Mus musculus: one gene and its partners. Each later gene encodes a partner of the first gene's protein in a complex. Links are inferred from orthologs where the notes say so. Each region holds a gene or a part of one and is shown in the gene's direction. Other genes may lie near its edges. The genes, in order: Ercc3, Gtf2f2, Polr2l and Gtf2a1.

What was found.
Region 2: Ercc3 (region 1) and Gtf2f2 share a complex: the UniProt entries of both Homo sapiens proteins name them as parts of the TBP-based Pol II pre-initiation complex. The link is inferred for Mus musculus from reciprocal best matches to the Homo sapiens genes ERCC3 and GTF2F2.
Region 3: Ercc3 (region 1) and Polr2l share a complex: the UniProt entries of both Homo sapiens proteins name them as parts of the TBP-based Pol II pre-initiation complex. The link is inferred for Mus musculus from reciprocal best matches to the Homo sapiens genes ERCC3 and POLR2L.
Region 4: Ercc3 (region 1) and Gtf2a1 share a complex: the UniProt entries of both Homo sapiens proteins name them as parts of the TBP-based Pol II pre-initiation complex. The link is inferred for Mus musculus from reciprocal best matches to the Homo sapiens genes ERCC3 and GTF2A1.

The regions. Positions count from the first base shown.
Region 1 is NC_000084.6:32,252,102-32,258,939, forward strand, and holds part of Ercc3 (general transcription and DNA repair factor IIH helicase subunit XPB), read left to right. Parts: intron 1-1,979; coding exon 1,980-2,164; intron 2,165-5,088; coding exon 5,089-5,291; intron 5,292-6,838. UniProt on the Homo sapiens protein: ATP-dependent 3'-5' DNA helicase/translocase. Binds dsDNA rather than ssDNA, unzipping it in a translocase rather than classical helicase activity. Component of the general transcription and DNA repair factor IIH (TFIIH) core complex.
Region 2 is NC_000080.6:76,006,566-76,014,172, reverse strand, and holds the start of Gtf2f2 (general transcription factor IIF subunit 2), read left to right. Parts: upstream 1-3,307; 5' UTR 3,308-3,427; coding exon 3,428-3,493; intron 3,494-6,394; coding exon 6,395-6,468; intron 6,469-7,607. UniProt on the Homo sapiens protein: TFIIF is a general transcription initiation factor that binds to RNA polymerase II and helps to recruit it to the initiation complex in collaboration with TFIIB.
Region 3 is NC_000073.6:141,470,585-141,478,089, reverse strand, and holds Polr2l (DNA-directed RNA polymerases I, II, and III subunit RPABC5), read left to right. Parts: upstream 1-2,936; 5' UTR 2,937-2,967; coding exon 2,968-3,062; intron 3,063-4,685; coding exon 4,686-4,794; 3' UTR 4,795-6,230; downstream 6,231-7,505. Other genes in the region: CD151 antigen, read right to left, coding at 7,393-7,505. UniProt on the Homo sapiens protein: DNA-dependent RNA polymerase catalyzes the transcription of DNA into RNA using the four ribonucleoside triphosphates as substrates.
Region 4 is NC_000078.6:91,571,305-91,578,142, reverse strand, and holds part of Gtf2a1 (transcription initiation factor IIA subunit 1), read left to right. Parts: intron 1-2,351; coding exon 2,352-2,559; intron 2,560-4,570; exon of another isoform or gene 4,571-4,713; intron 4,714-5,509; coding exon 5,510-5,577; intron 5,578-6,838. UniProt on the Homo sapiens protein: TFIIA is a component of the transcription machinery of RNA polymerase II and plays an important role in transcriptional activation. TFIIA in a complex with TBP mediates transcriptional activity.

The DNA.
Region 1 (6,838 bases):
ATGGGAGACTCGTGGGATGCTTAGTGCTCCCTAAGTGACTGAAGTTGTCCTCTGCACAGCATCTTCCCTTAGCTGGGACAGTCGTGGTCACTGTCGGAAATGGACTAAGGGAATGCAGAAGTGACTGGATCCTACTTTGTCCCTGATCCCTGATCTGTCTCCCATGCCCATGGTGTGTTGTTCTTGTTGCCTGGGCCTCTGATGCTCCTCTTACTAAGGGAAACCTGGGGTCCCCTGGTGTTGCCCTTCTGGGCCAGCAATCTTTGCTCAGAGATAACCTTGACATTAACTTTTCATTTGCTTGTACCTTGTTTTGTGTTTGGTATAGTTATTGTTGTATTTGCAGATGTTGTAAGTTTTCTAAGTTGTTAAGCATCAGTGTGTGTGAAATTTAAAATTAGCCATTTACTCAGAGTGTGACTGCCCTGTTATTCTATGGCTCTGGTGTTTGATTTGTCTTTTGGAATATTCTGGACTTTCATCTTCTCATTGGGTTTCTTTTTGACGTATCACTGGCCTCATCTTTAATTCTAAGATAAGCATGACTCATGTGTGTGAGAGAGGGGTGGTGAAAACTGAAGCCAGGGTTTCATGCATGTGAAGTGTGTGTTCTTCCACTGAGCTGCACCCACAGCTCCATGCCTCAGACCTTTCTCCCACATTTGGAAAGGCAGGCAAGCCAGGTGTTACTGAGAAGTAGAGCAGTAGAGCTCCCTGCAGGGTGGGCATGGAGCTGGCTGTCTCCAGAATGCTTGAAGCTTTTATATTTCCTTATTTTCAGGGAGGGCATGTGCATGCCGTGTCAGGAGTGTGGAGGTCAGCAGGAGTTGGTTCTCTTGGACCGCATGGATGGCAGACTTTGAATTGAGGTCATCAGGCTTGGCAGCAGGTATCTTTGCCTGCTGAGCCATCACACTAGTCCCCCAACTCAAAGCCTGCTAACCTTCCAAAGTGTTGCAGATCTCTAAAGCTGTGGCAAACCTACAGTTGGGGGACCAGTTCAAGTCCCGAGGCCACACATAAGCTGGCTTGCTAGGGTGCCATCTGTTACCTTAGCACTCCTGTGGGAAGGTGGGGAAGACAGCATAAGCCTGCATGCTGCTGCTCATGTAACCTGGCCTGTGCAGCCGTGCACCTACAAAGGACCCTGCCCCAAACATGGTGAGGGCCGATGCTGAGCATGCGGGTGCCTACGTTCACACACACAAGCACACACATTACATGCCCACACAAGAGTTTTCAAAGGTTGTATCTCGTCTATGTGTTTATTTGATAATCAGGAATTATAACAATCAGCAAAGGAAGAAAATGAAAGGTGGCTCTTGATGAAAGAAAGTAATGACAGGGGTCTCACTCCGTAGTCCTGGCTGAACTGGCACTAACTATAGAGCAGGCTTGCCCTGAGCTGTCTTCCCTGCTTCTGCTTCCAGAGTGCTGAGATTAAAGGCCTGTGCCACCATGCCTGTTTAACTGGTGACTTTAGGAGGGGAACAGGTACACAGCATGCTTAGGCAGACTGGAGGCTGAGCTTTGTCATTGCCACGGGCTCTTTGCTCTCCGCTTTGAGTGGCGATGGTAGGAAGCAGAGCAGAGCAGAGCAGAGCAGAGCTGGGCTCTCTGTCCCCTCATCCCAGCTTCCTTAGCTGTGACCTGTGCATAGGCTTCAGCCTGAGTGATTTGTGTGGCTTGGAATCAAGTCATATTTGCTCCTGGTGCCTGGACTCTTGACATGTTGACAAGTGCTGGTATTTGTGAGCTTGGAACTCCCTGAGGTCATTTGTCCTTTATTCTTTCTGTCTTTTGAACAGGTCTAAAAGCCATGGTGAAATATTCTTGCCTTGTTCTTCTCTGGAACCAGATTTCAGCTCTCTAGTAGCAAGGCTACCATATGGTACTGCAGACCAGTGCCAAGTTGCGGGCTGCGTGGCCCCTTCTCAGTGTAGAAGGTGATGATGCGAACATTTCTTGTCTTCTTGCAGCCAGGATGTTCCGGCGGGTTCTGACTATTGTGCAGGCGCACTGTAAGCTTGGTTTGACTGCAACCCTTGTCCGGGAAGATGACAAAATTGTTGACTTAAATTTCCTGATTGGGCCCAAGCTCTATGAAGCCAACTGGATGGAGCTGCAGAACAATGGGTACATCGCTAAAGTCCAGTGTGCTGAGGTATTTGCTCCCTGGGTGGGATGTGAAGTAAGGGCAACTCCCGTGGGAACAGAAGGGATCTTCTGATAAACTGGGCAGACCAGCAGGTCAGGACCCAGTCTAAGCGACCGTGGCGTAGTGCAGTAGTCACCCTGGTAGGTGAGCCACACTTCATAGCAGACCGCACTGGAATTCTCTGCCTCTGTCATGTGGTTAAGGCAGCAAGCTCATACAGACCATGACTCCCTGCTGCCCGCCCTCACCCTGAAGGATTGCTGCTGTAACCTCTCAGGGCAACCACTCAGGCTATTCCAGTGCCAAAGTCCCAGAAGAAATTGGTCTTTATGGTGTTATTTCTTAGAACACATTTTTCTAATACTGTTGTTTAGTGGATGCCTGTACAGGTATGTGTTAAAATCGACAGTCAAAGATAAGTCTGAAAGAAAGACAGAACAGTTCATCTTAGTGCTTTAAAATGACTGCCACTCAGTAGCTAGAGTGGGGTGACCTCTGGAAAGTGGTCGTTGGTTGAGATGAGTGTGTCTGTTAGCAGCGCAGTGTTGCTGCTCATTGCTTGACAGCACTTCCCTTCTTTCCTCTTCTGCCCCGTAGGGTAGTCACTGGTATGGAACTTGTGTTATACCTGTCAATCACCCTACCCACTGGGCCATCCTGCTAGCCCTGCAGAATTTTCTTGATCATGCATGTAGCTGTAGTTCATTCCTTTAAATTATTCAAAGATCCCATTGAATCTTTCATATGATAATCCCCAGTTTGATACATAGCAATAGAAAACTTTAATATTGACAGATATTATTTTATTTACATTATAATAATTATAATATTTAATCTTATACTTAAAGTATTTTTTGTAAGTGTTTTGTTACTTGTTTAGTGACAAAAACTCTTACCTAGCATGTGTAAGAGAGACTCTGGGTTCATCTCCTGCACACACACAAACAAATTACAGACATATTTATTAGAGTATAATTTGTGGGTGGGGATTGGGGTTCAGGGAACAGGGAGGAATGAGAGCTCCTAGCACCAGGATGCTGCCTGGGAACATAGACGCTGTATGCAGGGGAACATGGTAGCAGAGGACTTTGCACTTCCTGGAGAGTCTGATGTGCTGCTAGCCCTCCAAGAAGAGGAGTACTGGAACAATACTGGTCTGTGTGTGGTGATGTGGCCTAAATGGAGGGGTTGCTGGCTTCTCACTCTAGCAGCTCGATGAAAATTATTACCATTTAAAAATCATTGTTAAGTTAGTTCCAGTTCAATATGGAGTATTAATTTTTCATTTTTAAACTACTTGGTGTGTATGAGTGGCTGTCTGTATGTGTGTCTGTATATCACATGCATGCAGTGCTCTTGGAGGCCAAAAGGGAACACTGGAGTCTGGGACTGAAGTTAGACAGTGGTTAGCTGCCATGTGGGTGCTGGAGATCAAACTCAGGACCTCTGGGAGAGCAGGAAGTAGTCTTACCTGCTGAGCCATCTCTCCAGCCACTATTTTATTTTTAATTAAAATATAATTATATCATTCTTTCCCTCTTTTTCTCTGAACCCTTCTAATCCCTCTACTCCATGCTTCTCCCTCTAAAATTAACGGCCTCTTTTTAGGTTTTTATACAACTCTGGATAGTAACCAGAGCTTTCAAAAATTCTCTCCCACTCAGCAGTCCTCCTTCTCACTCCACTGATGACTTCTCAGCCTGCCAGAAGCTCTTTAGTTTTATGAAGACCCACTTGTCCATTGTTGGACCTAAGTTTTAGGCAAATGGAGTCCTATTGGGAAAGTCCTTTCTTGCCGACTGTCCTGTGGTGCGCTGCCTGTGTTTCAGGTTTCACGCTTAGGCCTTTGGTCCTTTTGGAGTTAAGTTCCGTGCAGGGTGGTGGATGCAGGTCTAATTTCATTCTTCTGCATGTGGACATCGATTTCCCTAGTGCTGTTTATTGAAGATGTTATTTTTCCTTCATCATGTTTTTGGCATCTTCATCTAATATGAGATGGCTGTAGTTGTGCCTTCTCTTCTTTGGTTTTGTTACATTGGTCTGCATGTCTGCTTCGGTGCCAGTACCATGCTATCTTTATTACTATTGCTGTGATGTGTCTTGAAGTCTGGGATGGTGAGTTCTTCGGCACTGCTCTTTTTGCTCAGGATTATTGGGGTAATCTGGGGTCTCTTCTGGTTCTATATGAAAGAAACATAGGTTACCTTTTTTGAAGAAATGTTGTGGGGATTTTAATTGGGATTACATTGACTCTGTTCATTGCTTTTGGTAGAAATGGCCATTTTTACAGCATTAATTCTCTCAGCTCATGAGCACAGGATGGTCTTCCCGTTTTCACTGTCTTCCTTGACCTCATCCTTCAGTGATCTAAAGCGCTCTTTGTGTAGGTCTTTCACCTCCCTGGTGAGGTTTCTCCCTAGGTACTGTTTGTCTTTGAATCTGTGGTGAATGGGAGTGTGTCTGTCCACTGTCTCTCTCTGTATGTTGGTGGTGTGCAGAGCAGCTGTTGATTTTTGCAAGTTGATTCTGTATCCTGCCACTTTGCTGAAGTTGTTGGTTATTCATAGATGTTTTCTGGTAGAATTATGGGATCCCTTATATGTAATAAGGGTAGTTTGTCTTCTTTTCCTAGCAGGACATTTGTGTTTCTTTAATTTCCTTCTCTCGCCTTCTTCCTGTGTGTGCCTGTGAAGGGTGAGGACAGCCTCTGGGAATTGTTTCTCTCTTGCTACCTGTGGAGTCCAAGGATCAAACTCGGGGCAGTAGACCTTTTGCAGACGGAAGCACCTCTGCTTGTTGAGCCATTACACTGACACTTGATTTTTTTTCCTAAGCTAATTCTGCTAAATGAAAGAGCATCAAAAGTCCTTAATGCTGTGATGTTTTGTTTTGTAACGTGATCCCTATTCCCTATTCTTGTTGCATCTCAGGTTTGGTGCCCGATGTCTCCCGAGTTCTACCGAGAGTATGTGGCAATCAAAACAAAGAAACGGATCCTGTTGTACACCATGAATCCCAACAAATTCAGAGCCTGCCAGTTTCTGATCAAGTTTCATGAAAGGAGGAATGACAAGATTATTGTCTTTGCTGACAACGTATTTGCCTTGAAGGAATATGCCATTCGGCTGAACAAGTGAGTGGTGCCTTCTCATCTTCTGGTCAAGTATGCCACGGCCTGTCTGTGCACTCTCCAACACTCCCTGGGATCTAACGCGCTCTGTTCCCTGCCCTCGTCCCAGGAACTTGTGAGGCAGAGAAGCAAAGAGGCAGGGTCAGAGGCTAGAAGATGTACACCAGAGGAGCCTGGCCACCCTGCACTGACTGCAAAGGCCACTCAGTCAACATTTCAGGCTAAGTGAGAGTGGGTGGAGCTGAGGCCAGACTTATGGCCCAGGGAAAGTGGGTGGAGGCGGAGAGGCTAGTGTCGGGGTACTTGCTTTTCTCATTACAGTGACCAAACACCTGACAGAATCGGCATAAGGGACAACAGGCTTGGTTGGGCCAAGGGACGTAGTCTGTTGTGACAGTGAACAGCTCCCTGAACCTGTTTCCCTACCTGGTTCCCTGGAACGGGCCACTGGCTTTTGTTTACTTTTTACTCTTTAGCTGGTAGCTTTGTGACAGTTTTTGGATTGTCACTGTAGAAAGCCTGTTAACTCCCTGCTGTGGGAGCTGAGGTTTTGCTTTCTCACTTGCACTGGCCACTCCTCCTCACAGGGTGACAGTCCAAGCTGTGGGTTAGCTACTAGCCAGTATTCAGAACCACTAGTCACAGTGCCACTGTGGTCCAGGCAGCCTTACAGTAGTCTGTGATTACAGTTTCCTTTATGGATAGATTTTGGTTTTCCTGGAGACTTCCCTTGCTTTGGTTTCCTGTATGTTAATGTGAGCATCGATTCCTCTCACTGACATCATGGAAACTCCGGTTTCTTTTCTTTCCTTTTCCTGTTAGCCTCACGCACATCATTCTCTGCTCTCCTCTGCCTGACTCGGGTTAGCCATGTCCCTGCTCCATCGGGGAGCTCTCTGTGGACGCCGTCTATAATAAATCTCCCCGGCCGCTCTCTTGAGTTGGAGTGTTGCGGTAAATCTCCTCCCAAATATGCCCTGGCAGTGAAAACACAACACAGTTAATATGATTACATGCTGTGCGCCTAGACTGAGCAGATCTACCGCTACACTACCATCTTCCACATCAATGGGACCCCTTAGAACTTGCGGTTTCTTCAGGCCATGTGCTTCTGCTCAGCGGAGGGACTTCGTCCTCAAGCTAGCTGATAATAAAACCTCTTGCAGTTTGCATCAGGTGTGGTTTTCTCTCAGGTCACTGGGGTGCTGGCCAGCTCATCCCGGGATTTGAGCGGAGGCCCAGCTTCTGGGGTCTTACAATACTACCATGCAGGAGAGTGATGGGCTATGCGGCAGAGAAAACGGGGGAATCTGACAGATCACATTCCCAGCTGTGTGACCTTAGGAAAGGAATTTGCTACTCTGAACCTCTTTTGTCTCCTGGTCACGTTGACCTGCACCACTTACTGCAGACAGTGCTTGTGCCTGGCGTCTTATGTGTTCTCCAAAGGACCAGTGCTCGTCATGAAGGGTTGGCACTCTTTCATTCCATTTCCTGTGTAGGAGAAGCCCTAGAATGTGGGGCCTGCAACTGTATGAGCAGCTTTCCAG
Region 2 (7,607 bases), on another chromosome or scaffold:
TGTTTGTTTCTTCAGTTCCGGGATGATTTTTTTTTTCTTCTGTGAAACCTCCTCTTCTGGCTTAGGAACAGTTTGTTCCATCTTAGCAAAGATCATCTCAGTGTGGCAGGGGGACCCCCTGTGTGGATTGATCCAACAAAACAGTTACTTTTCTGTTTCTGTGATAAAACAGTGGCCAAGGCAACTTACAGGAGAAAAGGTTGACTTAGGGTTTCCATTTGGATAAGTAATAACCCACTTCCTGGTACCAAGTCTGTAGTAGTTACTTTCCCATGGCTGTGATAAAACACCATGATCAAAGACACTTATTGAAGAATGACTTTCTTTTGGGCTTACAGTTCCAGAGACCGTAATGGTGGGAGCAGATAGCAGCCAGGTGACTGAAACTGGAAGTTGAGAACTGAGGGCTCACAACTTCAGACTGCAAGCCGGAAGCTGAAAGAGTACACTCAAAATCATGTGAGATTTTGAAACCTCGAAGCCTGACCCAAGGGACATACTTACTTCAGCATTGCTAAACTTTCTAAGCTTCTCCAAACATCCACAAACTGGGGACCAAGCATCAAATGCATGGTCTGTAAACATAACTTTTATTCTCCTGTTGTAATTGCTGTCTGGGCGGCTTACTGCCTCCATCTGCTAGCCTAGGTCTAGGGAGCCTCTGGCCTCCATACAATCTTACCTGGGCCTAGAGTGTTTTCAGCCTTTGAGACTTGCTGCTGGGTGAGATCACCCTTTCTAGTTTTTTTCTGAGCCCTGACTGGCTGGTTCAACTCCGATGTTCTGGCTCAAAACTACTCTCCCAGCTGACTGATTCAATCTGGCTTTTCTCTTGGCCTCTAATTGATCTGTTTTGCTTCAAAATATCTCTAGAAATCTTTTCTAATCTTCTGGCTCCTTCTCATTCTCTTGCTTGTTGTGTCTTTACCTGTGTCCAGCCTGTTCTCTCTTCAATCTGTCTCTGTAAAAACTCTCCTGGTAACACTGCCTCCTTCTCCCTCTCTCTGCTCCACTCTCCCTCCCGACTCTACTTACTGCTCTCACGAGCTCCACTGTATCCTGTACTGTACTCTCTTCTTCCTGAGCTGCCTGTCTCTCCCTGAAGTAGCTTCCCTCTCCTCTCTCTCCCTGTGAGAGTTGGCTATATCCTATTCTGTCAGACCATTCTCTGACTCATCACCTTGTCTGCCACCCATTTAGACATCACTTCCAAGCATGGCTACTTCCTCCACCAAATTAACTTTACCTTCATTGTTTGAGATTAAAGGTGAATCTAAGGGTTTGCCTGTATTCCAGCCAGAGGGATTACAGGTGCATACTAAGGGCTGAGCCACACCACAACTAGAAACAGGTTCAAATATCCTGTAACAGTGGTCTATGAGGAGATATCTTATCTAAACCATTATATCTCTGAGCCATTATAGCCATGAGCTTTGTTAAGTTGGACGGTTTACCTGTGTATGTTCAATGTAAATACTTTATCTTTAAAGCCATTCCTGGGGTGTGCCAGGCTCCTTTGTGTTCTTCTCACATATACTTGAACCAAGACTAAAGCACTTCTCATAGGCTCACCTTTTAACACTTTAGGCCTGTTTCCAAGCTGTTATAAGAGAATGCAACTTTTCTTTCCAATGAGTGCCTGGTCTTTTCCATCACATTAGTTTTGCCAGCAGATCTCAGAGACCTGACAGTTTTCCCAGCCCTTATGCTGCACAGATATAGACTCTCTGCAGTTTTGTGCATAGCTCTGGTGTGTGATTCAATAAATTACTTGCCATTCTTCCAATACCTTACTGCTTGTTTCTCTTCAGCAAATGTTCATTCAACCAAAGCCTACTGACATCCCACAGTATGTCAAACACTGTGCTGGGTGCTGTGCATATAAAATGAATAAAACACTATTTTGTATTTGTCCATTCTGCTTCAGCAAATCTGGGGCAAAAACAGTACTTTTGTCTAGGAGTTCAGTCAGTAGTGTAGAAAACAAAGATAAACACGCCTCTCATGGTACAGCGTTAAGCATCACACACTATCATATGGGGAAACAGAACTTTATCTAGGGGGACTCTCTTTTCTGTGTGGTCTTTATTTCATTTCCACTTGTCTGTGTTTATAAGTAGAAGTTTGCCAAAGGACAGGGCCAGTGTAAAGATCAGGGAAAGCAGGGCATCTAAGGCACAGGAATTGGTTTGAAAGAGGCTCTGAAATGGTAAGAGGAAGGTCCTGGAGTCTTCAAGCAGGTGGATGGGCTTGGTGTGGAATCCTGTGTGGAACAGAGAGTATAGGAAGGATCAAACCCAAAGGACTCAGTTGAAGCACAGGGTAGAATTTCATTCCAAAGGCAAGTGGGGGAGGAAATTACCAAATGAAGACTCAGGAGCTAGAAGCTGCGGTGAAAGCCTGCTAACTCTGAGAGGCAGAAAAAGTACTCAGCTGACCTTCCCACTCCACCGACTTCTCAGAAGGAAAAGCCCCTTCTCCTTCATGCACTCTTAAATACCCTTCACCTCAAACTCTCTCCTTTCTCTTGCTCATGTTCACTCTCTTGTCAGCTGGCTACTTGCTCTGCCGCCTGATCTAGGGTTGACTTTATTTAGCTCTTGGATTAATGTGCGCGCTAGGTAGGGGTGAGCCAGGCTACCTATACTTGTTTACAGTAAACAGAAAGTTCTAGGATCAAAGGCTGAGCCACAGTTATTAACAGATTCTTCCAGTTCACAATCTCAGGGCTCATAATGTGATCCAATATCCTGCAACCGGAAACTGTTTAAGCAGGGCAGTTGGATAATCAGATCTGTTTCTTACATGGTGGGTCTTACCAACTCAATTAGATGGCATTCAGGTTTCGGCGTCTGAAAGAGTGTATGCTGCTTGCACGGTGTGAATTGATTTTTATGCCTCGAAAAGGCATGTGTCCAGCATACTCACTTGTACTCTAGTGCCCACTTGTGCCAATGTTAATTGGGCCAAGAAAGTGACTTTTTTTACCCCCAAGTCTGTCCTTAAAATGCCTAGCTTCTTTATCTAGGGTTGGGTATAAATACACACAGCTTTTGTCTGTCTAAACCTTAATCTTTCCACTTTGTCACCTTTGCTGTAAACGCACGGTTCAGGATTAGGCTCTTCCTTTCCCAGCACTCGAATCCCAAGATTGCACGTTGCCGGGAGTCACGCCCATCTAGGAAATTGCCGGAGCAGGAAGTTTGTCCCTCTCGGCGCGCTGTCCTGACGTAGTCGTGCGCAGGCGCAGTTCTTCATTCGGCGGCGTGTTCTTCTCATCTAAGTTCCTGGTTCCCGGGCTGTGTGCGACGCCGGCTTTTCGCGGTCTACTTACTCCCTTGGCCGGCTCTGGACTGTCGCTCTCTGCCTTTCAGCGCCGGGACCACTGCTTGTGCGCGCACTGCACGCCTCCTCACGCGACAAGCTCATGGCGGAGCGCGGGGAACTCGATCTGACGGGCGCCAAACAGAACACCGGCGTGTGGCTGGTCAAGGTGAGTGAGACGCGAGCCCCGCGGGGCGCTTCCGAAAGTTCTGGGTCCGTCTTGCTCGGGCCACCGCTGTTCTGAGAAGCGGGTCGCTGTTGCGTCCGTTTGCAGGTTGGAGAAGTTACTTTAGGGGACACAGGGCGTCTTTCAGGCCGTCTCTCAATTTCATCCGCCCACCATGGAACTAACTCTCTTTACCGCCAAGACCTGGCCTTCCTGGAGTCCTGACCCGGTGGTCCCCGAGTGGGCAGTACATTTACCCCAGGTCGGAAAAGTCCTTGCGGTTTTCTTTTTGGTAAGGTTAACTTTAGTTATGAACGTGTATAAATTACTTGAATAGATATTCCGTACAGTTTTCTGGACCACAAAGTGGAGCTGGTCCCTGTGTACTCTGTTGTTTTGAAACAATCTCTCTGTGTAGACTTGGCTAGCCTGGAACTCGCCATGTAGACTCCTGTCGCTTTACACGGCTAGTGTTGCCTGGGTTGGTAATTCAATTGGAGCCTTCGAAAGACCTAGAAGTTCTGAATTCAAAGAGAAGTTGTTGACTTCGTGTTTTTAAAGAGCGAGTTTAGGATTCATGAAACCAACCAGCAGTAAATGTTTTAAGTGGTCATGCGGCAGACCTCGTTTGCCCCAGTGGTCGCCATCTATTCGGGTCACTTTTTTTTATATGGGGTGGGAGGCTCTGTGGGGAATCTCATTCTGAAAAACCATATTTAAATGGGATCATGAAAGTTTCCCAAACTTGTTTTTTAAATGGTTTATCTTTGTAATGAGTGTTTTAAGTCCATGGCTGAGTTCTCATCAAGACAAAGTGTTTCTTCCTGTCCTTTTCTCTGAAACAGCTCTCGTCGTTTGCCAGCACAGCAGACTATGTTAAGTTCTTCAAACCCCTGAACAGTTTCTAGTGCTCCTTTGTACCTGTCTGTATCTATTGTTGATGCCCCTACCCCCAAGTCACTTTCTTTGCACTTTGATTAGTGTTTGGCACATATTACTTTTCCAATATGTGATGAATATAAGAAATTGAAAAGGCACACGCCTTTAATTCCAGCACTCGGGAGGGAGAGGCAGGTGAGTGAGTTCCAGGACAGCCAGAGCTATACAGAGAAACCCTGTCTCGAAAAACCAAAAAGAAAAAGAAAAGGCTGTATGTCAAAGAGACACAAACTAAAGTGGGTAGGAGTTAGTCCTGTCAGTTTCATCGGCGGGCGATTAATGAAACACACCTCTGGGTGTTTCTGGTGCTGTTTCTGGAGGCAAAGTAGGTCACAGGGCTATGATCTAATTAAGGGATTAGTTACTCTGTTGGTGGATTTATAATGTGACTTCTCTGGGAGGTAGTGAAAGGTAGTGGGGCGGGGCCTAGTTGGAAGAAGTAGATTCTGGCTGTATGTTCTTAGGGCTGCCCTGGCCCTCTCTGTATCTCCTCTATATCATGGCCACTGTGGAGTGAGCTGCAGCACTTTTCCTTGTTTTTCCCACCATGACAGATAGAAACTGAGATACCCAGTGCAAAATAAATCTTAAATTGTTTCTGTCAGATATTTGGTCACAGTGACTAAGTCTGACTAAAACAGAGAATACAGCAAAGGGTTATAAGTAACAGGAAAAACGAAAACCTATTCTCTCCTTTCCTTTCCCTTCCCTTCTCTCCCTCTCTCTTCATCTCTCCCTCTCTCTCTCTACCTTTCTTAGTTCAGGCTGGCCTGGAAGTCTCTGTGTAGCCCAGGCTGGCCATAAACTCATGGTAATTCTCCCACCTAGGTGTGTGTTAGAGCACCTGTGCTTGAGTATTTATGTTAGATAAATACACAGATATATATCTTAGATAAAGGAGAGCTACCAAATAGACAGGACTGTGGTGTGCACACCTTTAATCTTAGTACTTGAGAAGTTAGCCTGGTCTACATTGAGTCAGGGGAATGTTGTAAGACCCAGAAACCAGAAGAGGGCATTGGATCCTCTGGTATTACAGGTATGGCTGGTTATGAGCTGCCATGTGGGTACTGGGAATTGAACCCAGGTCCTCTGGAAGAACAGTCAGTGCTTTAAAGCTGAACCATCTTTCCAGCCCTTATCAGACTTAAATAGCAAAACCATTAAAAAGTCCATATGGTATTTTGAGATACATTGTCCACAGTCTCACCTAGCTTTATTTCTGAGTTGTATCACTAGCCTTAGATTCGGTTTTCATATCTGTAGACAAGGGAGAGTACTTTGAAGAGTGATTGAGGGGATGAGTGGGTGGAGGGGATAGAAAGTCTACAAGGAGTCTGACAGAATTGTCTCCTCAACCTTCCTCTTTTCCAGCCTCAGGCCTATCACCTGACACACTTTGGTAGTCTACTAAGTTAATATCATGAACATACAATCAGCCTTTTTTACTCCTTTTTTAAAAAAACTTTAACTGTAATCAAAGTACTGTACCCCCCCCATAATCTTGCTAGACTTCCTTGTCTCCCCTTTGCAGCCCCAACACCTATGTCTCAGTCTGAATTCATTGTGATCACATTGTTATTCCAAGATTACTACGAGAACTAATGCTGACAACTGACAGTCAGTGAATACTTATTCTCCACAACACATATGCTTCGTGTTTTATTAAAGTCTCTTCTTTGCTTCTCATAACAGGATAGCTGAAAGGTCTAAACTACTTATGTGAAGAACAGAGGCAGATTATTTATTAGAGAATTAATATATTTTTCCATCTTAGAATTTAACCTCCGGTTACTTCTGTTTTTCTGTTTCTGGTTTTAGACATAGTATTTTTATGGTTAAGAACAAAATCCCTTGAGATGGCTTGGCCTTGAATCGTGCTCTGTCATTTACTAATTGTATAACCCCGGGGAAGGTATTTGATCTCTGGGTACAGCATCTGTGAAATGTTTTGCTTTATTTTAGGTTCCTAAATATTTGTCCCAGCAATGGGCAAAAGCCTCTGGAAGAGGTGAAGTTGGGAAACTGAGGATTGCCAAGTAAGTTATTTATATATTTATATAAATATACTATGTACACACATATAGTTAGTATATATGTATAGCACATAAACTATACATTTTTTAAAGCTGTTTTTAAAAATGTTTATAATGGCTTTTGAATGTGATTACATTCTTAGAGAATTTACTTAGAAGGTGAGAGTTATTGGGCATGTTAAAGCAGGTTATGGGATATCTATATATTCTGTGAGGAGACAGGCTTGTGCATGTGTGATAAGTAGTGTGACTATAAAGCTAAATTTATTGGGGAAGCTTACTGGTAGTGAAGGAGCAGATGATACGGTTTCCCCATCCTTCTATCTGTTCGTGGTGTGCAGAGGTGTGCTTGGGTTAGGTGTGCATACCTAGAAAGTACTTTTTTAAAAATTTTATTTATTTATTTTATGTACATGAGTACACTGTAGCTGTACAGATGGTTGTGAGCCATCATGTGGTTGCTGGGAATTGAATTCAGGACCTCTGCTCGCTCCATCCCGAAGATTTATTTATTATTATATGTAAGTACACTGTAGTTGTCCTCAGACACAGCAGAAGAGGGCGTCAGGTCTCATTACATTTGGTTGTGAGCCACCATATGGTTGCTGGGAATTGAACCTCAGAACCTCTGGAAGAGCAGTTAGTGCTCTTAACTGCTGGGCCATCTCTCCAGCCCTAGAAAGTACTTTGATGGATGGACTTTGCCATTGTCGTTCCTGGTTAAAGGGCTATGGAAGGACATAGGGAGCGTCTAGTGTGCCTGAGACTTTGTGTTCTATGAGAGAGATTGAACCCAGATTCTCCATGTTCTCACGGGGCGGCTTCTTTATCCCGTATCCAGTCACTTCATTTGTTTGTTTGTTTAGTTTAGTTTTTTTTTCAAGTCTATGTAGCTCTAGGTGTCCTGGTACTTGCTCTGTATGTAGGTCAGGGTGGCCCTGAACTCAGAGATCTGCATGCCTCTGCCTCCTGAGTGCTGGGATTAAAGGCGTGCGCCACCATGCCTGACTTCATCCATTCACTTAAAAAAGATTATTTTATACATACGAGGTTTTTGCTGGTATGTATATCTATGCACTAACTGTTTGCCTGGTACTTGAAGAGACCAGAAGAAGGCATCTGATCTCTTGGAACTGGAGTTA
Region 3 (7,505 bases), on another chromosome or scaffold:
GTGCCTGCCCCAGACCCCCACCCTGGGCAGGAAGACCACAAATTCCTGGTCCAGTAGGCTGACACCTCCCACCAAGAAGCAAGCAACCAAGGGGTTGCACACAGAGCCTAACCAGGAGCTCTGAAGACACACCTCTTGCCTCCCTCCACTTCAATAGGGATGGGGGTGCAGGGTCCTCTGTGTGAAGCCAGCAAAAGGGCCCATATTTCTTCCTAGACTCTCTGGTCATCCCAAATAGTATCTTCCCCCCACTTCCTGCCCGGCACCCTCAGGTATTTCTCTGTCAGAGCCCCTGTGGCAGTAGAATAGAAAGGACCTACTTGAGACTCAGAATGCTTATCCTGTGAACAAAGCACACCTGCATTGCCATGTTGGGGACACCCCACCCCTACCCTCAAGCACTGAGTCCCAAATGTCCCAGCCTCAATAACCCAAAGGGTTCTTGGGCTAGTTACTTCAGTTTCAGCCACAGGGTCTCCAAGAGCTATTTGGACAACATGTACCAAACACATTTAGTGTGTCCACACAGATATGCCCTGAAAATGAGGTGTAGGAGTGTGTATGTTCACACTCCATACCCTCAGGGTGATATAAACTGTCCTACATGAGCAAGCCAGAGGGCACAAGGCTAGATAGAGTTCCTCAGGAGAAGTCACTTTCGACCACTTCCCCTAGCTCAAGGCCAGCTTTTAGTGGAGGAATTAAAATCCTTCCCACGGATGCTTCAGGTCCCAGCAGAGCTTTACAAATGGGGAAACTAAGGCTGTGACCTAAGGCCAAGGGGTAGAGCCAGCTGGAGCCCAGGGCTCCAGACCACAGTACAGCACCCTCTTTTGGCTGGCTGTTTTCAGGGCAACACCCAGGGTGGGAGGGGCCGGGCAGCTAACACTTCAATCATCGGTTTTCCTCGTCCCCTGCCCTGAAGTGACCCCCTCCTCTGGCAGGAACTGTGGCAAATGGGTTAAAAACTGCGTATGAGCACATCTCGCTCAATGCGCCCTCCACCCTGTACAGTAGATTGAGCATCCATTTGCTAGGCAGACACTGGTCAGTTTGCAGTGGGGAAACAGCAGAGCTGAGACTGTAAGTATCCTACATCTCTCTCCCGCCACTGGGAGTTAAGAAACGGTAGAAGTAGGGGCAGAAGCTGAGCCTGGGATCCCTGCCAGGGCTCTGGAGAGAACTGACCCACAGCATATCCCCCCCCACTCCACCCCCATCCCACACAGCACTCCAGGATGAGCAAAGTCTGGGTGAACAGCCTGGAGTCCTCTAGCCTGGGCCATTTCTGGGAATCCAGGGAGCTGGAGCAGGAACTAGGGGAGGAGAGGATGCCACCACCCACGATAGCCACTGGAAACTGTGGGCTTGCGCGCGCGCGCGCACACACACACACACACACACACACACACACACACACACACACACACACGGGAATTCCAGGAATGTCAACTTGGCACAGGCTTCTACTCCCCAACTCTCCCTAAGTAAACAAGTCTTCCAGGGGCCGGACCGAACTGAGAGCCCCTCCTCCAAGCCTTTGGCCTCCACCCCATCCCCTAGGGCAGACCCTACAGACCATCTCCTATCCCACTCCCCTGCCACCCTCACCTCTGGCCACCAGCAGTCTTCAGTCCAGATCTTGAGCCTGATCCCAGGCCACAGTGACTCACAGGCCCCCACTGCCCCCTCTGGCCAGGGCAGGATGTTGGGGGGAGGGGACAGGACCGGGAAGTCGCCTAGCTCGTGGCTCTGCACGTGGCTCCATGGGGGATGGCAAAAGCTGCCAGGGAGGCTGTCCAGGGTGACATCGGGGGCACAACCACCAAGCTGGCCAGTGGCTCCGACCAGCCACACTCAAGACCCAGGAGACCCCTCCCGACCTCCCCTCCATCGTTTGTTTCCCAGAGGCACCTGGAAAATGTCTAGGACCCCCCAGAGCCTTCACTGTAACCAGATCTCAAACTTCCCAAGCTCTATCGAACTTCTCCAGCTTCTCACTGCAAGCTGCCTCGTTTTCCTAAGGGTAGCTCCCAACACACAAGAAGGCGGCCAAGGTGATACACTCCCCAGAAACCAGCTCCTTGCCCATTCCCTTAAGTCCTTAAGTCACGTCCAGGTGAGGCAGACCTGTGGCCACTAGCAGTCTCGCACGCAATCTCCGCGTCTGAGCCAAATATCCCGGGAAAAAGAGGTTAGAAGGTCTGTTCATAGGGTGCCTCCTCCATGACGCCTTCCCGGACCACCGCCCTGCTCCTCTCCCCAGGAAAAGACCCTTCTCAGAGGAGAGGACTGTACTGAGCGCGGGAGGCCGCCGTCGGGGCTCGGGACACCGTACCGCCGACGGTTCTGCAGCGGCCGAAGAGAAGGACGCCCCAAACTCCAAGGCCCGGACTCTGCCTGGGCACCTCGGGTAAGGGCTCCAGACCGAGACCCCTTGGAGTCCGGGCCAGGAGGCGGGAAGACCGCCTTGGCCGTGGACAGTCGGCAGCCCGCTCTCCGGCTGCGCCACCACCACTTGTTAACCACCTCTTGGCTCCAGTCGGCTTGCGATCCGGCCAGCGGGACCCCAGCCCGCTAGAACCGCCGTACCTGTGCGCGCCGCCGCACGGCGGAGCAGCTGTCAGTCAAGGCAACACGAGAAACGCGAACCGCCGGCCGCGGACCTTTCGGCCTTGCTCGGACGCCGTAGCGCCGGGATCTACCACCACAGCGGGAGGGGGGGGACCGGGATGCTGCCGCGGGCTCGGAGGCTCTCGGAGCCCCGGGTGGGCACGAGCAAGGAACACCGCCGCTTCAGGGTAATCATGGGAGCCGGGGCAGGGCTGCGGCGGGATTCAGGGAGATGCGGGGCGGGGCTCTGGATCTTACGGGGCGGAGCTAGGGCGTAATGAGCCCCGCGCTATGGGCGCGCCTGGGGCGGGCCTTGAAAAGCTACTGCCGGCAGCCTGCACGCCAGACGCCGCCATGATCATCCCGGTGCGCTGCTTCACCTGCGGGAAGATCGTCGGCAACAAATGGGAAGCCTACCTGGGTCTGCTGCAGGCCGAGTACACGGAGGGGTGAGACGGCGGGCCGCGGGGGATGGGACAGGACGGGAAGGCTGGACTGGGGGCATGAAGTCGAGGGGCAATGGGGAGGGTTCTGCGGCGGACCGGGAGTGAAATTGAGGTGTCCTGGGCCGGGGGTAGATAAGATTTCCTATGGAGAATTGGCAGGGCAGGGGTTGTGGGGTCTAGTGAGAAGACTGGATGTCCTCCAGCCCAGACCTGTGATGTATTCCCAGAAGAGTGAGTCTTTAGTTTGTTTTCGAGGCAGGATTTCGGTGGCTGACCTGAATTCTCTATGTAAAGCAGTCTGGTCTGAAACACTTCGAAATCCTGCCTGTCTCCTGGATGTTGGGATTAAAGGCGTGCAATATCACGCCCAGGCTCTCAGAAGTTTGGAAGGTGGTTTTCTTCAAGTTGCTGGCCTTTGGGAAACTTCTAAGCATCCTTCCCGTGGGTGACACCTCAAGTCTCTTCCCTGTCGACCTACTCTCTATCCTCTATCTGCTTTCCGACCTACCCCTTATGTACTTCGAACCTCGTGGGCCCTTTAAAATGCAGGACAGGCTTTGTGGGCATCGTCTTGTGCTCACTACTATGACTGTCCCCCAAAATAGACCTCTGGCCACCATGTCAACACCAAGGGGTTCTCTTTCTCTGCACAAGCCATAAGTCAGTGGGGCTTAATGAGCAGCTATTAGATCAGCTCTGATGAGTAGCTGCTAGCCTTCTGGGACCCTCTTTCACTTGGGCAGGAACCTCTCAAGCTGTCTAGGTCCCAGAGAAATTAAATCTAGTGTGAGTTCAAAGCCTGTGGGGTAGCAACAACCAGTTCATGGCGTTTAGTCAGAGTCCACCTGTGGGGCCTGGAATTGTACTCCTTGATGAGGGGATATTGGTCTCCTAAGCTTTCCCAAATAACCCTGGAAGCCCATAACCCTGGGTACAAGAGACAAACGCAGAGATACAGGGGGTTAGAGAGATGGCCCAACTGTTTTTTTTGTTGTTGTTTTGTTTTTCAAGACAGGGTTTCTCTGTGTAGCCCTGGCTGTCCTGAAACTCACTTTGTAGCTCAGGCCGGCCTCGAACTCAGAAATTCACCTGCCTCTGCCTCTACCTCCCAAGTGCTTGGGATTAAAGGTGTGCACCACCACACCCAGCTAGATGGCTCAACTGTTAAGAGCACTGGCTGTTTTGTGTGTTTGGTTGTTTGATTGTTTTTTAAGAGGACTCAGGTTCCGTTCCTTGAAGCAACATGGTATCTCGCAAGTGTCCGTAACTCCTTTGGGCTTTGGGAGCATCAGGCACCCATACACATAAAACGAAATTTTAAAAAACAGGTGTAGGCAGAAGGCTGTTAAGGATGGATACAGGATGCTATGGGAGAAGACTGGCACATGAGCAGGTGTAACTTCTAGGTGGGGAAAGGGTCACCTGGCTCCTCCCTGAGCATCTAGATACATATTTCAGAAATCTCCAGGCCATTTCCCTATGGCCTGGTGTCAGGTTTCAATCGCTGATTATGTAGATGTGCTCTGGTAACCCCTATCCACACGAATACCCAGAGGCAAGCTGGAGGTGGTTCCAAACCTATCCAGACTCTAGAGACCACATCCAGCCTCACTCTTCTCTTTACAGGGATGCCCTGGACGCTCTGGGCCTAAAGCGCTACTGCTGCCGCCGCATGCTGCTAGCACACGTGGACCTGATTGAGAAGCTGCTGAACTATGCACCCCTAGAGAAGTGACCGCTGGAGCCTGCCCTCCTCTGTCTCCTGCTGGCCACGGGCAGCCTGTCGTGCTATGTTCAAACTGAGCTATTGGGGATGTTGGTGTATTGCCTGGCTGTGGCCCTGTGGCTAAGTCCTGTTACCCTGGAAGGAACTGTTTAGTAAAGATGTTTGCAGAACCACCAACAGGTCTAACTTCCAAGGTGCTCCATGTCCATGTCTGTGCTGTCTCTGAGGCTACCTGGCCTGCCTCCAGTCTTTCCCCTAGGGCTGGTCTCCTTCCCCTTCATCTGACTGGGAGTCTCGTCCTGTGGAGGAGTACCCTGCTTCCGTTCCCCGGGGCCTTGACCACTTTGATCAACGAGGTAGCCCTACAGTAGTCTTGTACCACATTGCTTTAGGGCCTCTCCGCTTCCTGCCTGTGTTCAGGATGGGCATAATGGATGTGGGCACCACACCATCCACAGGTATGGATGGGCCCAAGCCTGGTGACAATATTCCTTTGGAATGCTGAGCGTGCTTGGAGGTCCCAATCCTTGTGCTAGGGTTATTATGCATTTGGGTATTTGGTCTGCTTATAAGTCTTTGTATCACTGTGTCCCCACAGAGGCCAGATCCCCTGAGAGTAAAGTTATAGAATGTATAAGCTGCCATCAGGTATTGGGAATCAAACCCAGATTTATTTACCTTTCATTTTCCAAGACAGGGTTTCTCTGTTTGGCCTTGACTATCCTGGAATTCAACTCTGCAGACCAGGCTGGCCTTGAACTAAAGAGATCAGTCTCTGCCTCCCGAGTGTTGAGTTTAAAGGACGGCTTGTGCCACCCAACCAAACCCAGATACTGTAGGAGTACGCCCAAGGCCACAGGCCTCACGAATTTCTTGGGTCCTAAAGCCCATCAGCTGTGTGAGCCTATCTGCTGCCCATGCCTGAGGATCTTGTTTCCAGAATCTTCCCAGGCCCGACAGCTAGGCAGCCCTGCCCCTTGACCCAATCCCCACAGCATGTAGTCCTAAGAAGCCTACTCTAGGCCAAAGGAGGTGGTGTAGTGCTTTAGCTCCTAGGCATCTGCATCAAGTACCCCGGGTTCTTTCTAGCACATTGATCCCTTTGAGAATTTTGGTGGGTTTTTTTGTTTTGTTTTTTGAGACCAGCTTTGGCTGGTTTGAAACTCACAACAGTCAGCCTGCCTTTACCTCTTGGATTCTGGGATTAAAGGTGTGTGTGGCATAGCATACCCACCCTACCCCACCCCTGGTTTTTTGTTGTTTTAAAGAAAAAGGCGGGCTGGTGAGATGGCTCAGTGGGTAAGAGCACCCAACTGCTCTTCCAAAGGTCCAGAGTTCAAATCCCAGCAACCACATGGTGGCTCACAACCATCCGCAACAAGATCCTCTTCTGGAGTGTCTGAAGACAGCAACAGTGTACTTACATATATTAATAAATAAATCTTTAAAAAAAAAAAAAAAAGAAAAAGGCTTTGCCTTAGGCTAGAGTCCAGAGAACCCATAGTGGCCTCCTCCAGCTGGCACAGAAGACTGTGGGGAACAAAATCAGCTTAGGACCTCTTCTCAGCTGCTTAGATGAGCTAAAGCCAGAGAAACAGGAGCCAGGGCATCCCCAACAGGCCCTGGTGCCTCCCTTGCCCTCTGACCCTAGCAAGGCCTACAGACTCTTCCTTGAGCATGGACAAGTCCAGGCCACAGTGGGCTGGGGGGATGTTCCAGCTACCAGTGCTCACCCTAACTGTAATTGCCATTGGGCTTCACCAACCTTGACTCTTGTGAGTACTCCAGCTACCCTGGACCATAAGGTCCTGTCAGCAAGCTGATTCGAGTGCTTATACATTTACATTTATTGAGCACCTGTTACATAGCAGGAGCATTTGTGGGCAGCATCTGGAATACAGCAGTGAGATGAAAACAGCCATGCTCCATTCAGAGATGCTCCAAAAGGAGACAGTGTACAGGAACATGGAGCATTTACATGATGCTATCAGTAGTGAGAAAAGGCCAGGGCTGAGCTGTTAGGAGCAAGAGGCCTGTGTGGAGAGGACAGAGCATCAAGTGTGGGGTTGGAGTTTCCCTCAGCTTACACCATTTGTTTGGGGCAAGCAGATCTGAGAGTTCCTGGTAGCAGGCATGAAGGGTGCCTAATCCAACCAGAAAGGCCCCACCTGCTTTTACCCAACGTGTAGTGGTGTACTCAGGTTCTCCCCAGACTTACTGCAGATCACAGCTACCCAAAGGGAAGCAGTCTGCATAAGAGGCACTTCTGTCAAATAATCTAAACCCTATTCTACTAGCCAGGCCTAGCCCAACACTGGCATTTGAACCCCCCACCCCCCCCCCCCTTCTTAATGCTGGGGCAAGTACGCTGCTTCGAGCTTTGGGACTTTGGTGTGCAGTGAAAGGCACTTGAAGGTGCATGCCCCTGAGGTGGCATGCCAGGGGGGGTCATGGCGATGGCATGAGGGTAGCTACCTCTGGCAGTCAGCAGTCTAAGTCAGTAGTGTTCAGTAGTGGGGCTGGGACATAGTGCAAGGCTGGCCGCCCAGCCTGGCATCATCGTGGTCAGTAGTGCAAGGCTGGCCGCCCGGCCTGACATCATCGTGGTCAGTAGTGTTCCAGCTTGAGGCTTCGGTACAAGCAGCAGGTGAAGATCATGCCGAAGACCTGCACACAGGCGATGCCAATGCCCACCGCCCCAATGACCCGCAGGTGCTCCT
Region 4 (6,838 bases), on another chromosome or scaffold:
GGGAATTAAACACTGTTAGAAAGTGTACTTTAAGAACTAGTTTGGAGCCGGCCAGTGGTGGCGCATGCCTTTAATCCCAGCACTCGGGAGGCAGAGGCAGGCAGATTTCTGAGTTCGAGGCCAGCCTGGTCTACAGAGTGAGTCCAAGACAGCCAGGACTACACAGAGAAACCCTGCCTTGAAAAACCAAAAAAAAAAAAAAAAAAAAGAAAAAAAGAAAAAAAGAAAAGAACAGAACAGAGCTAGTTTGGATCTTGAAGCTTCATCACTTCCTCAGTTAGAAAATTACACTGTAAACGTCTTCCTCCTCTTGAGGCAGTATCTCTGGAAATGTGGAGACCAGGCTGGCCCTGGACTCATAGAAATCCACCTGCCTCTGCTTCCCAAGTGCTGGGATTGAGGGTGTGTGCCATTATGTCTGGTTTAAAAAATAGTTTCTTAAACACTGACAGTTCTTTTACTTCATATTTTGATTTTTTTAAAAGAAAAATTGTATTTTGTCTGTGTGTTGCACATACATATGTATGTGTATGTACCACCATGTGCATGTGGAGGTTAGGTAATGATTTGTGGGAGTTGGTCCCCCCTCCCCTCTCTTTCCCTCCCTCTTTCTCTCTTTCCCTCCCTCTTTCCCTCCCTCTTTCCCTCCCTTCCTCTGTCTCTGTCTCTGTCTTTGTCTCTGTCTCTCTTTGCAGAGATCAGCCAGATAAAATATGGGCTCTTAGGAAGTACCACTTTGTTGCTCTTGGAAGTTGCTTTTAGTGTGGGGTTTGTAAAGGCCTCTATTATTGGCTGGAAGTTTAAAAATAATCTAAATGAATTTTCCTTTAATTTTAGATGAGGAAAATGTGTAAGAATGTTACATGATTGAGTCACATTAGTAGATAACCCAGTATTAACTGGTTTTCCAGCCTCTGATGTAATGCTGTTACATAATTAAAGCTACTACTGGATTAGTAATAACAGCTGGCATTCAGTGATCACTGACTTTAAACTGTGGTAACCATGAACAGAGGTTAGTATTTTTTTAAGTATAGATTTCAGGCATTGAAGTATTGGGCTTGTAGGGAAGTACTTCTACTCTGAACCTGACTTTTACTCCATTTTTCAGACCACTACTAAAAGACGCTGGAGTTGTTGTAGCAGGTAGTCATAACTATAGGTCACGCAGAGAGGGCAGGGTGAGGGGTTTTTGCTTTGTTTTGAGTCTGTGTAACAAGAGGCGCCTCTGAAAGAATCCAGAAGAAACCTCTGCGTTAGCAATCTCTCAGGAGCAGACCCTGGACTTAAGAACAGAATGCTTGCTTTCTTTGCAGTTTAGAGGCACACTTTGACTTTCTTGGATAATTTCTTATAGGAGTGAAACTCAAAATTAAACACTAAACATAGGAGAAAGCAAATATGTTATGGGAAGAGTGAAATAGTTGAAAATGTTTTCCTCTCTTTTGGATGGCTCTCCCCCCTCTCCCATTATAGAGCTTACCCTGTGCTGAGGTGAGAAAGACAGATAGGCAGCCCTAATCCGAAAGGTCTCACCACCCAGGAGTGTTACCTTTTTACATAGTTTTCAGACTTTGAAGTTCTCTTATGTTTCACATACACCTTTTATACATGGCTAGGAATTAATTGACACGCTATTTTAATGGTTTTGTGCATAAAACAAAATTTCACCAGGTAGAATTTTCCCATGGTGAGATCCTTTTAGGAGTCAAAAAGGTAGAATATCGCACGCAGAGTTTGAGTTTTTAGGTTAGATATGTTCAGCTTATAGAAGTGGCTAAGCAGAAAGTGATTGTCAGTCTTCGCATTAGAAGAACGGGCGTTCCAAGAGGTGTAGAGCATCGGGATGACCGTTTCAGCCTCATTTTCTTTAACTTACAAGGTTAGACAAATGGAAAGGAAGCTGGCCTATTTAATTTAGAGTGCCTGTATTTCACAAAATTCTCACTGAGGACAGATGGATGAATATTTCTCTTTTTGACTCCTATTGAAGAGATAGAAAATTTGTATTGAGCAAAGTTCCATAAAAGCAGTTTAATAATTTTGAAATAAAAAGATAAGCTGTGATTATTCAGGGATTGACTCTGGGAACCCTGTTAAATAATACCTGCTAACTGAAGAATTACTCTAGAAAGTTTCTTGGAATGTAAAAAAAAAAATTTAAGTAAAATAAACATGTGATTTGATCAAGGTTTATTTTCCTTGTATAAAACTTGGGTGATATTTGTGTGTGTGTGTGTGATTGTATTATTTCTGGAAGAAATTTACAAACACCTAATAACTTAATATTTTGTCTATATGACCAGAGTTTTCTTTAAGTCACTGAGAAGCTTTACTGTTCTTCGTCTTAGTTGTGGGAGAATAAACTAATGCAGTCTAGGGCAGTAGATGGATTTCATTCAGAAGAACAGCAGCTTTTGTTGCAAGTTCAGCAGCAGCATCAACCCCAGCAGCAGCAGCATCACCACCACCACCACCAGCACCAGCAAGCGCAACCTCAGCAAACGGTACCTCAGCAAGCACAGACCCAGCAGGTCCTCATTCCTGCATCCCAGCAAGGTGAGAAGGCTGGAGGTCCCTGTTGTGCCTTACAAGTTACACTTGTCTTTTGAAAGTATTCCTTTGACTTTTAAGTTTTATTTATTTATTTAATGTATATGAGTACACCATTGCTCTCTTCAGACACACCAGAAGAGGGCATTAGATCCCATTACAGATGGCTGTGAGCCACCATGTGGTTGACTGCAATTGAACGCAGGACCTCTGGAAGAGCAGTCTGTGCTCTTAACTGCTGAGTCATCTCTCCAGCCCTAATTTGACTTTTAAGTTTGATGGATCCATCATCTTTTTAAACAGATGCTGGGGTCTGGAGATCTATACTGATTACTCTTTTTCTTCTCTGACTGGTAGAGTGCTTGCCTAGCACACCTGAGCCCTGGGTTCAATCCCCACCACCCCATAAACTGGGCATTGTGGAGCGTGTCTGTAATCCTAGCATTTAGGAAAAGGCAGGATCAGATATTTAAGGTTATCTTCTGTTAGTTATCTAGTGAGTGAGTTGGAAGCCAGCCTGGGCTACATGAGACCTTACCTCAAAAATAGCAAAAGAAAATAACAAAGGCAGAAGTTATGAAGAGCATCCCTGGGAGGGGAGCTATAATATGTGAATGAGCTGAGCTAGGGACCAGGTAGAGAGACATAGAGTCCCAAGAGCGTAAAGCCAGGAGGAGTTCTGTATCCCTGTGGGGAGATAGGGAGTAGAGACAGATTCCCAGAAGTCTGGTTATGGGCCAGCTAAGCTGTTATATATGCCAGAAACACTACAAAGAAACCTTGTGTCACATAGGTTGAAGGCAAGGATCCATACTACACACTTTATAGATATTATGTAAGATAAAAGAAAATGGGGGTCCCCTACCTATACAGACTTACTTTTGAATGAATTCATTATTTAATATAAGGTAGTTTTCTTTATGAAACATGTTCTTTCAAAGACATGTTTGTTTTGTTCATGCATCTTCAATACTGGAGAAATTTTGTAACTTTGGTAGTCTGAAAATTTAATTAAACTTTTTTTTTTAAAGATTTATTATTATGTGTAAGTGCACTGTAGCTGTCTTCAGACGCACCAGAAGAGGGCTTCAGATCTCATTACAGGTGGTTGTGAGCCACCATGTGGTTGCTGGGATTTGAGCTCAGGACCTTCAGAAGAGCAGTCACTGCTCTTACCCACTGAGCCAGCTCACCAGCCCTTAATTAACTTTTTAATGCTTGATTTAAAGAAAGAAAAACTCATTACAGACTCTGTCATAGTTTACAATATTCAAATCATGTTATAGGTCCTGTTGCATTAACCTTTATTGACGTGTTGCAGAATAGCTTATTAGCTCAATTTCACAGTTGAAGGAAATCTGGGCCCTGGAAAGATTGAGAATCTTGCCATAGCTTTAAATCCTGCACTCAGGAGGCAGAGGCAGGCAGATCTCTGATTTCAAGGCCAGCCTGGTTTACAGAGTAATTTCCAGGACAGCCAGGGTTACATGGAGAAAACTTGTCTCAAAAAACTCCAAAACAAAGAAGGATCTCGATCCATCATACATAGTTATTTTAATATGACAAAAATCTATTGAGTTATAACATTTTCTGAATACTGTAGTTAGATGAATTTGACTAGAAAGGAAACTTGAGGTAACTGAAAGCTTAGTTTAAGGTGGCAGCTGTTGGGTGACTGGTTTGCTTCATCTGAGAGAGTATGAAATGCACGGTGAGTAGTCAGATGTAGCAGAAGGCGGTGTGACTGGGTTTACCAGTTATAGCTGATAGATTTGGAGTGTCCCTTTTAGGGATTCTTTAACTTCATTTCGTGTGTGTGTGTGTGTGTGTGTGTGTGTGTGTGGAATGTGGTGGCCCATGGTATCCATGTGGCAGTCAGGACAACTTGCAGGAGTCTGCTCTCTGCTTCTGCCACGAGGGCTCTAAGGATGGCACTCAGGTCTTTAGGCTTGGTGGCAAATGCCCTTGCCCACTGAGCCATTTCCCCACTCTTCAGACCTGCTTTTCATTTCATCTTTGATGGCTGTTCCTCCTGTTGCCTATAGGCATGGCACTAGGATTTTAAGTCATCATAAATTAAAATTGACTTTTTTCACTCAGAGAATATCAAGATATTGGGTTTATCTATGTGTTCTCTGAAATTTGCGGGGTCAAACATTACTTTTTTTTGTTTTTTCTTTTAACTAACATTGCTGTTGTTTCTTTCTTGAGTGTGATGTTTGTGTGCACACATGCAGGTGTAGATGCTCATGGACCATGGTGCATGCATGGAAGTCAGAAGACAAGTTCAGGTGTTGATCCTTGCTTTCCACTCTGAGACAGGATCTCTGTTGTTTTCCTCTATATACACTAGGCTAGCTGTCTTCAAGCTTAGAGCTCTCCTGCCTGACTCCTCTCCCCACCTCATAGAGCAGTGGTATTAAGAGTGCTCATGCTACGTAGCTGGCTTTTATGTGTGGTCTGCAGATTCTAACTCAGGGCCTCCGGCTTGTATAGAACAAGCATTTTTAATCCATTGATTTGTATTCTTCAAATAGTTAATTAAAATGCCATGATCATGGTAGCTGTCAAGTTGCTAGAAAAGGATGTTGTAGGGTTTTTTGTTTGTTTGTTGTTTTTAGACACTGTCCTACTATATAGACCAGGTTGGCCTTGAACTCAGATCTTTCTGCCTCTGTTTCCTGAATGCTGGAGTTAAAAGCATGCACTGCAATGCCTAGCTAAGGTATTGTAATTTTATTAATGTTTTTCAATATAAAATAAATATATTCGAGCTGTTGATTTCCATAGGAAAAAAATTTAGAAAGTCTAAAATAGCATATAGTTTGAAAGTATTTTAAAGTAGAAAATGCAACAAAAGCATGAAAAAGGTAAAAAAGGTTTTGGCATTTATAACATTCCTGCAGCTCTGAAGTATTCTTGTTGTAAATGGGCCTTTTTTTTTCTATTTTTGTAGCTACAGCACCACAAGTTATTGTTCCTGATTCTAAGTTGCTACAACATATGAATGCATCAAGTATTACGGTAAGACTTGAACACGGCATGAACTGGCTTTAGTTAATCTAAAATTGCAGTTATTCCTATGTGTATTATTTAACAACTTGAGGATTATGGAAGATTTGTGCAAATAGCTGTTAATGACAAATTAAATCTTTAAAGTTTATAAAACTATGTAATTTTCTTAAAAAATACCAAGATAGTTCATAGCTGACACTGGTACTTGTATGTCAGGAGGTCAGTTAAATGTAAGTACAGGAAGGCTACGTTTATAAATTTGTTGAAAATGAACTGTTTTGGACAATTCAAGATAGGTATTTCTTTCTTTCTTTTTCTTTTTTTTTTTATGGTTTTAGAGCTTTATTGTAGAAAGAGAGAAGGAGAGAAGGTAAAAGAAAGAGAGGCTGGCTATGGCCACGTGGAGAGAAGGGAGGAAGGGAAGGAGAAACAGAGCTAGAGATGAGAGTAAGAAAGGTGAGAGCTTAAGACAACTATTTCTTTTTTAAAAATTTAATTTTATTAGTTATTTGAGAATGGTATGTGATGTATTTTAATCATATTCACCTCTAACCCAACTCTTCCTAGATGCACCCCTTCTTTTCTACCCACCCACTCAAGCTTGTACCTTCTGTTTCTTTTTAAACCATTAAATCTAGTTGTGCTAACCATGTACATTTGAGTATGTGGTCAAGGAGGCTATTTCCTTGTTTTGTTTTGCTTTTTTTTTTTTTTTTTTTTTTTTTTTTTTTTGAGACAGGGTTTCAGACCAGGCTAGCCTCAAACTTACAGTGATCTTCCTGCCAAATCCTGGGATTAAAGGCATGTGCCAGCGTGCCCAACTCAAGGATGCTACTGCTGAAGTCGTATGTTAAGAGTTTTTGTTGTGACTTAAGCATAACACATAGTTTGCCTTATTGTGATCTTTAGATTTATACCTTAAGGTGTATTTTATGCAGTTGCTTATAAGAAGAATTCTGTTCCATTTCAGGTGGACAGGCATACTGAATATCCCATTCTTAAACGTCTCATACTTAAGGCTCGTAATCTCCCATCAGATACATCACAGTGCTTAACTGTGAACTGAAGGAAGCCCTTCAGGCTCTTAGGATGTGTCGCCAGATCGATAATGTTATAAAAGAAGCAGGAAAACAGAGTCTGACCACTTACTTAATACTTTACCACCAATGACTTATTTTCTTAAACTATGTAGACTATAAATATTGTAAGGTCAGATGTGGCATTTTATTTTTAAAATCAACCAAAATTATTACTGAGGACAAAATCATTT